Linked DNA regions of Schizosaccharomyces pombe. The gene in region 2 interacts genetically with the main gene of each other region. Each region holds a gene or a part of one and is shown on either strand. Other genes may lie near its edges.

Evidence for each region. Genes that interact genetically often act in the same process or in processes that back each other up.
Region 1: mutations in SPOM_SPBC1685.04 (region 2) and SPOM_SPCC1494.08C together harm fitness more than expected from each alone (negative genetic interaction), as found in Schizosaccharomyces pombe (one large-scale study listed by BioGRID).

The regions. Positions count from the first base shown.
Region 1 is NC_003421.2:2,340,251-2,344,813, reverse strand, and holds SPOM_SPCC1494.08C (uncharacterized protein), read left to right. Parts: upstream 1-2,179; 5' UTR 2,180-2,430; coding exon 2,431-3,255; 3' UTR 3,256-3,410; downstream 3,411-4,563. Other genes in the region: transcription factor TFIIH complex subunit Tfb6, read left to right, coding at 1,217-1,308, 1,377-1,758; trm732 (tRNA methylation protein), read right to left, coding at 3,516-4,563.
Region 2 is NC_003423.3:500,505-505,096, reverse strand, and holds SPOM_SPBC1685.04 (uncharacterized protein), read right to left. Parts: upstream 2,434-4,592; 5' UTR 2,225-2,433; coding exon 1,247-2,224; 3' UTR 904-1,246; downstream 1-903. Other genes in the region: vma9 (V-type ATPase V0 subunit e), read right to left, coding at 3,235-3,295, 3,362-3,412, 3,701-3,792.

The DNA of each region.
Region 1 (4,563 bases), on a different chromosome or scaffold from region 2:
TCGATGCTTTTTAAAAACAAAATTTTCTTTCTCGTTCCTTGAATCTTCTCAAATATCGATATATTAAAGGCTTAGGCAAAAAAGTAGTAATAAAGCCGTAAATAGTCGGTTTTGAGTGTGTGCCTCCAAACCAAATCCGAATACTGAGATATGTTTAAACTTCGTTATCACAGCTACTGAACTAGTCGATATACGTTAGATATCAGCTATGAAGATTAAATAATTTAATATTCTGTATATTGCAAAACGAAAGGCAAAAGACTAAGTCACCTTCCGAAAGTAAACAGCTTGCTACAGATAATCTTAAGTAGCTCATTTGAATTTAATCGACCAAGCTTCACGTTCCGCTTTTACTATCATATCCCTTTATACCTTTGTTAGAATCTAGCTCGCATCGTTCGATTATGATCAACTATTTTCTCGCATTAGTTAAGGATCGTTGGATACTTATTCATGACTTCTAGCTATTTAAAAACTTGCTAAGCAAGAGGAGCTAGTTGCCTATAGATAGTAATCAAGAAATTTCTTCATTACCAACTTGGAATCTCGATTACTGCTTCCATTTATTAGATCCGTCTGATAAATTACCCTTCTAAATAAATAACATTGCTATGTTTTACTTCATTTACTCGCCTGACATATTTGGCCTAAATATAATCGTAAACAGAATAAAGGCAAGCATGCTAAATCATAATACCCGATGACATTTCAATAAATATTCTTTTATAGAGGGTACATTGAAAATGATAATAATGAGAAAATTCAGCTTATGGTGGTGGTCAGACAATTTTCTTATAAAAAATGTGTTTTCGGCTTCCAAAAAATTGCCCTATCTCAAGAACTTTTTTTGTAGAAGGTTAATGTTGATAAATGGGTATACCCCTAAATCGTCGTCATTGACTCTCTTTCCTCTCCAAACATCACCGTCATATAGAAAAGCGAACAGAATTCTGTTTTCACTGATTTTTTAGATAAATAAGGTTTTAATGCTTTTCTTGTCGATATTGAGTTTTATTCTCCCTAGTCACTCTTCTTCAGAAACTAAATTTTGTTTTGTATAAGCTTATACGCTTCCTTGACTTTTTAGATAGTTATTCATGTATATTTAGTTGTTGCATTATTAATTAGCAACTTAATTTCCGATCTTTAGTTCGTTATCAATATCGCTTGACCCTTTTTTTTCCTGGAAAGGGAATTTCTGTTTCTATATTCAGCTATGGCACTTGAATTAACTGAGCACCAATTAAACAAGTTGCGCGACTTTCTGGATGAGATTTTATTAGACGTGTCTCAAAAATACCAAAAGAAGTACGTTTTTCAATTCGTTTTGCCTAGTCTTCTTCACTCTTTTTATTTGCTAACATTGGTATCGTTAGATTCCATCCCGGTGGCTATCAAAAATTAGAGGAATTAGCATTTGATTTGGAACCATACTTTCAGGTGGTATCTTCTATTCCTTTGGAAAAGCATACTTTTCTCGTAACCAATTTCACTCTACGAGGTATCGACTTTTTTGTCGACACTATTGTTGGATTTCCGGCCTCCCCAGAGACAACTTTTAAGGTATTTTCCCTACTGGATTCTCTTTGCTTAAGGCTCATACAATCGGGAAATCTTTCTACTACAGATACTATACGGTTAAAAAGTCTGATGGAGAATTGCCGTATGGTTGTTATTTCAAAATTGAGCGACGTTCAAGGATACGAAATGGATTGTGCCTCTATTTTTGAGAAGAGTTTGAACAGCATAGATTTTTAATGCATTTGTTCTCCCCGTCATTATTTCTCCGTTTACTGACTAATTTTCTATAACTTTTGGTAGCCATTTGTGACTTCGATGGTATTTTAAAACAATTGCAACGTCAAAAAAAAGAACCATCAACTCGGAAAGATTATAATATTTTTGTACCCGCTCTTCTTTTTAATCACATTCATCTTGCCGTAAATGTCTTTTCAGTCTTCCATTCTGCCCAAATCCAGAAAGTGAGCTTTGAGATTGAATAGCGAGTTAATGTATGTTCTCTTTGCTGTTCATCCTTTACGAAAACAATAATTATACTTGGCAAGAAATCGACTTCTACTGTTTATTTTTGGAGTTTTCATATTATTGTTACCTGCGACGGAAGATCTCGTTACCTGCGATTTACAGTATGCGATTCGATACGTCAGAAGGAAATTTCACCTCAACAACTAAAACGGGTTTTTTTTGTTTTGCAGCTTTTAGTTTCCTATCTCCTCTTTTCACTGTTTTATTTATTGTTTTGTATGAAAAACGTGTTTTGTATCCATTAAATCTAAGAACTTTCAAGAATTGAACGCTGGAGCATTCTGTACATAGGTAAAAGTTGGATGAACCAATTATCTAAATTAACTGCTTTTTTTCTTAAATCTTTTATTTGCATTTCCTAAGGAAACTGCATTTGCAGCTTTTATGAGTATATTTATTCCAAAGGCGCGTCGACCTACCTTTGAGCTTCACCTTAGGATCCACGATGTAGTTAATATTCCGTTAATTACGGGAGTCATTTTCGTGAAATGGAATATTGAAGGAATCCATTCTCGTCATGCCAATGACCAAACCGAGGCTGAACCTGTATTGGAGCATCGCGTCACATGGGAATACGAGACTTGTGTGTCCGTTCGTATGATAATCGACAACGATAACCTTTTAAAAGATAAATTTTTAATTTTACAAGTGCTTTGTGATTCTCATACAGATTCTGGTGTCATACGTCTAGGTATTCTAAAGATCAACTTGACCGAATATGTTTATGTCGGTCAAGACACTAGAAAATATTTGCTTGCTGACAGTAAAATCAATGCCACTATACGTATTGGAATAAGCCTTAAGCAAACATCCGGTAATAAGGACTTTAGAGTAAGCAAGACACTTGGGAAACCCCAAGTATTTAGCGGCCTTACGGGTCTTCTGACAGATGGTAAAGAGCTAAAACGGCGCGATGATGAAGTATACACATCGACTGGGCTTGCTTCAGCTTGGGCAGAGAAAATGCTTCATTCGATAAAGGACTTCAATCAAAAAACCACTGTGTTCCATATGCATACCCGAAATAACAAGTATGACACCAGAGAGATTGTAGACGACATTTTCTTTGGTGGAACAGGATGGGCCGAACCTCCCAAAATAGCTGATATTGTAGACGCCGCTGGCGATACAGATTTAATATCATTGGAAATTAGGCAAAAAAGTTGGGTACTTCCAAGTGAGAAAGTATTGAACAAAAGACTTCCCTAATGCTGTCCTTTGTTTTCTTTCGAACTTTTGTTTATATTTATATATGTATATATGCATACGATATTTTTTCGTTACCACATTTCTTGATAATAACGTTTGCCAAGTTGTTGTAATTATTCATCCGTGTAAAAAAGTTGATTTATACTAATATTTACCTTAGCCATCGTTGCAAAAATTGTAAGAGTAAGAAAATAATTTATTAATTCACTTTAAGGAATATATTTATTATTAACAAAATCAAATTAAATATCAGAATTGAATTATTGACAAAAGCTAGGATGTCCGTCTATACGATTCATTAAACTGTGTACTCTATCCAGCGGTAAATGAACATGTTCGGCTATACGAATTATTTTGTAAATTGTAAACCATACATTGGGGTCCGAGGTCTTACCCAATGGCCCATCTCGGGATACATCTTCGAACCTGCTAAGAATTGCATTTATACCATCAGTGGCCCAGTCCTTTAATTTTTCGTTTGGGTAGCTTGCATAGAAAAGTAAATCTTCGAGCTTTTGGTTGTCTGAATAATAAAGATTTTGCCTTTCTCTTTCAAACAAAGAACAGTTTCGCGATAAAGCATTATCCAATTGGACTGACGCTAATTCACAACCGTCTTCAAGTATCAATCTTTTATTGATGCAGTGTTGAAAATCGTGTTGTCCTCCAAATGTTGCCTTGGTACGTAGCTTCCATAAATTCCAAATTTCTGTTACACATTGTGCAGATGTCCCCAAAACCTGATAAGCATGATTTGCAGCCAGAGATCGGATTTCTTCATCATCGTCGTTAAGGAAGTCTCCCAGTAATAAGTAGAGAATATAAAATTCGAAAGAAAACGCTTCAGCTGTTGATTCTGCGTTGAACAAATCAAAATGTATTATGGAATCCAAAGCGGCCTTTCGAGAGCTAAATGGCTGATATTCATTGGAATAACTTAGTAGTATTTCTACCCATTTAGCAAAGGTTACCTTGTACTCAAGGAAGTTTTCGGTTTTTAGTTGTTTGATGCATGAACCCAATAATACTATAAAACTTTCTTTTATGGGTAGGCATTCATTTGAAAGGATGTTGGAAACCATATCTGAACATGAAATTCCTAAAAGCCTATAGCTTGTAGAGTTCAAGGAATCCGAAAGTAACGATAATGCAAGGGCTCTAACTTGACTCCACTGGTTTCGTGGTGTTAATTTGATTAAAGCTTGCAAAATCTCAGGATTATTAACAATTATCTTCTTTCTCGGCGAATCAACAATGCTTCTCAACGTGGTCAATTGGACTTCATAGAACTCATAGTGCAACAATTTT
Region 2 (4,592 bases):
CTGTATGGACAAAAACGAAGCGAAAAGAGAATGGGATTTGCAAGAATAGTTTTGATAAGGTCAGTAGCAATCGGGGAATGCTATGATAATAAGCGTAGAACAATGATCTCCCTTTCTTTTCTTTTGCAGATAAGCTCGATCCTGAATTTTAAACTACGCAGTTAAAAGTAATATTTGCGATATGATGTCTAAATTTCGCTATTGGAAGATTCTTGTTTCATTCGTTTTGCCCATCGGCAACGCGGGCTTTCAATTCAATATATATGTAGGTGAACGATGTTTGCTGTAATAGTTAACTTCACTAGCGTCTCATACCACCAGCAGACAAAGTGCGTGGCAAGCCGTTTGATCAACAATTCTATTGCTCGATGATTTTTAAGAGTGATGTCAAAGTCCGAGTGCGGCAAAAATAAGACAGCGTAGCTTTAGAAGTGATTTCGATGAATTTCACTCAAACGGAGGATTGCGACGAACAAGGAGCCGCAATGTCGTTTGTTCAAAATCGGATTTCTTGGTTCCGTGACATTTTGCAAATAAGCTAGAATCCATCTTCATACGACTGTGTCGTATTGAATGGAAATGGAAAACTGAAAGAATGGGTTCGAAATGGAAAACGACATTCTGAGGATGTTTGACAGAATCGGTTATGTGAACCGAAAGTGAATGTACGTGGTATTAGCGTAGAATTGTTTGAAAACTAAAATGGTGTTACTTTTTGAAAACTGTTTCGTTTGTAGTAGGTTGATGGTTGAACAAGACAAAACAAAGATTATTAAGGTAGCTTTAGATTCAGGGATGTTTATTATGACAGTGTTTGATTTGGGTAGGAGATTGACAGTTTAAGTATGGAAATAGGCATTCAATAGCATATTTGAATTGAATCACTAATGAACTCGACTCGCATTACTTTAACATTTTGTCATTTGTTGTGTAGAAGAGAGTTTGAGAAGACAAATCAAAGATGATCAAAGTTGGTGTTATTAAATAAATATCATGCCGAAAATACAGCTGAAATAAATATTATATACGATTTTAACGATGTGGTGCTAGATGAGGCTGAAAATCTGGAGGTAAAATCATGTATGAAATATATATTTCTCCACAATTAACAGGTATCTTGAAGCCGTGCAGGGTAAAAGTAGTAAGGCTGTCGGTCAACACGCCAAGGAATGCATTGTGCCATTGAATGACCATATTTTAATATTAGAAGGTTGTATTGATAGTATACGGAATGAAAATTAAATTATTAGGAAGAAACGGGAGTCGAGGTTATCGCAGTAAGCATATTCTCAAAATATACAATTTCGAGCTCTAAACAAACAATGATTGGCTTCCATGTATTGGAGTCAGCAATCTGTCTCGCCGACTCCAAAGAGTGAAGAGTCGAGGTCAAGAGTGATAATACACTAGTGCGCTGAACGTCAGTTAATGGAGGCAAAGCAGCTTCTGATAAAGAAGTAGGCCCCAGTATTGAGATTAGTTTTGTTTCGACAGCTTGGATTTGATGGATCAAACGTTGGAAGAATTGCATTCCTGGAAGTGCTTGCCCGACCATTAGTCGCAAAAGATCTTCTCTTTTCTTCAATACTTCCATCCGTTTTTCAAGGGAAGATACATTAGCATGTGCATCATACTGCTCCTGCAGAGTTAAAAGGCGATCTTCCATACTGAGTGCCTTTTTCTTTTCTAGATTATCATAAGTCTGGAGTCGTTTTACAAGGGTGTTTCGTTGGTTCGTTACAATCGCCAACTTTTCCTGCAAAATTTGAATTTCCTCATCTAAATGTGTAATGCTTGTCTTTAGATTCGATATTTCTTCCGCTTTGTGCACCTCTGCCAGACTTGCTTTGGTCGATTCAATTTGGGATAAAATGTCTGTCTGCGAGTCCCAACGGCTCTTCAATTTCCTTTGCTGGCTCCTATATAAATCAGCGTTTTCTTGACAAGCTTGACACCATAACTGCAACTGCTCAGCGATGGCTTTTCGAATCCTGGTCAAGTCGTTGGGCTGTTTAGATTGAAACAACACTTCAGCCAGCTCATCCAAAAGCGATTGTATTTTCCTTTCCACTTTTGGAAAGGAGCCACTTTCTTCCATATTGTCAAAAAGCTCTAAGCTACGCGTTCTTGTCGATAAGCCAGAAGAAGAGGTACCTTCATCATTCAGCATCCCTTCATTAGACTTGTTTGGGAATTCGTCTAGCGGAATATATTCTTGTTTCATTTTAAAAAGGTATAATACACGAAAAATCTAGTAAATGCGTAAATTTGGTAAGTTCAACCCTTTTTTCTTCATAACAGAAAATTATATCGCATTCAACATCACTAGTGTAAGTTTTTCGCTTTTTTTATATACGAATCTTTATTTTTTCAGTCTTCCTATCTTTTCAAGAAACCAATCCGTTCAAAATCACACTGTAAAATGTATTTCTTAACTATCAGTGTGTGCAAATGTCTATGTGCTATAGTGGAACAATGTTGAATAGTCGCGAACTTGTGTTTATGAAGCCAGTAGACCTTTAATAACAATTCAGACTTTCTCTATCTCAAATATTTTTTTTAGTCAACTAAAATTGCGTATTAGGAGCGCCACTACTATCATGAACTTCAGTCCAAATATTAAACTAAACTTACAACATCTTAGAGTTTTTGGCACCAAAAAAACTTTTGAATATCCTGTTGTGTCTATTATTTCAATTTTTTATTGTATTTCTATATGATTCAGTATATTTGTAGCAAGGCTTTTGATAACGTAAATATACGTCGCCTTTCATACACACATCCGAGTAAAAGAAAAAGCGACAACCAAAAGACGGGGAGACCAATAAATCTAGTAAAATCAAAGAAAAGAAATAATGAAGGTATATCCTTTCGCAAAGATTAAATGCAATGTTGAAATCCACGTGAACCGACCTTTAAATAACGCCAGGTTCCAGCCATGACTTAACTGACTCCATATATATATTAAAATAAGAAACGTTTAAAGATATGGATTATAAAAATAAGAAATACTCAAACGTGTTTGATTTGTAATAATAATCGACAAACACCAATAGGATTTTAGAGACTAGAAAGTTGAGCCCGACGATCAGAAACGAATAGTATCAAAAAATAGGAAGAGGAAAAGGTTCAAAAGTAGATTCTAATTGGAAAGCTTGCAGTCTAAACGATAAGTAAAATAAAAGAGGAAGAATGTACAAACATTAAAAATCACTATGATTATACTAAACTTCATTACTCAAGAACTCGAGATGGAGCCTCTAATGGATGCAACTGTGCTAAATAAGTAATTGCCCTAAGAACGATGTTAGTAAAAAAGAAAAACAATATGGATGCATAAGAACACCACAAATGCACTAACCATAATAAATAGCAACAAGAAAAAGTAAGAATTAATGACATCTGCCAAGTACTAATTGAGAGTTAATAAAACTTTTGTTAAAGGAAGGAGTATGAAAATATAATACAAGCAACTGATCCCAATTCCAGATTGTCCATGTGCAGCTGAAGACAAGGCCTAAACAGCGCTACCTTGATTGGTTGCAAGAAAGACAATCACATATACTTTTCCATATCTCTAAACGAAAATGAAACGAAGTAAAAACAAGCTACTGATCATAACACAAGACTTTAAATGGGAACATAATTGCTATACCTCGATATATAGATGATTCACTCCAATCAGTAGCAAACTTCTTACCTAGTATTATTTCCCTTGGGCGAGACATAGTAAGAAACTACACTCATTAAGGCCGTCAAAAGGCCGACAAGTAAAACAACGAGACCACCCATTAGAATGCAAATTACCTACTTTCAATAAATGTAACTTGCACGTTAATGGTAAATTATCGAATGTGCGTCTCACATGAACATATACTGCAAATTAGTGACACCACGCATAGATAACGTAAACATAAATCAGGTAACAATAATCATACAAAGGCATTAAAAAAATGCTTAACATAGCCTTCCAGTTATATGAATACGATCCTTGAATAAAAAAATGCTCTTTAATGCTAGCGGACATCATAAAGACACCCTTCCTCCATTTTTTCTTATGAATTCTATTTATGGTAACCCTCAATCCATTACGTTAAACTAAATATTTAACAAATTTACATTACCGTGTTTACTATAACGCATCAGTGTCAGGCTCCCAAAAATTCTGTACTTTCCAGATTCTTTGAATACTATTATGGACTGGTTAGTTTCAAAAGAGATTGTATTAATTATTTTCTTAACTTCAAGTAGTACTCGGAAATCATTCTTCTCACTAGTTTATAAAACCACCGAGCACTTATGCAGAGAGTAAACTAACACATCCAATAATTACATCCACATGCTTAATGCTTTCTTATTGTACTTAACTTTCTTTTCATAACATAAACTTTTTAAATCACCAATTACACTTTTAAAATTCGTCTGATTACCTGCGCCGTAGAAGCGATGAACATAAAATGCTTTGTGTAGCTTCATAGTTATATCCTTTTGTGTAATATTATAATATTTTTACATTGCAAAAATGCAAAATAATAAAAAGAATTGAAAAATAAATAATTTCACCAGTAGTAAATGTCATCTATTTTTTCCTA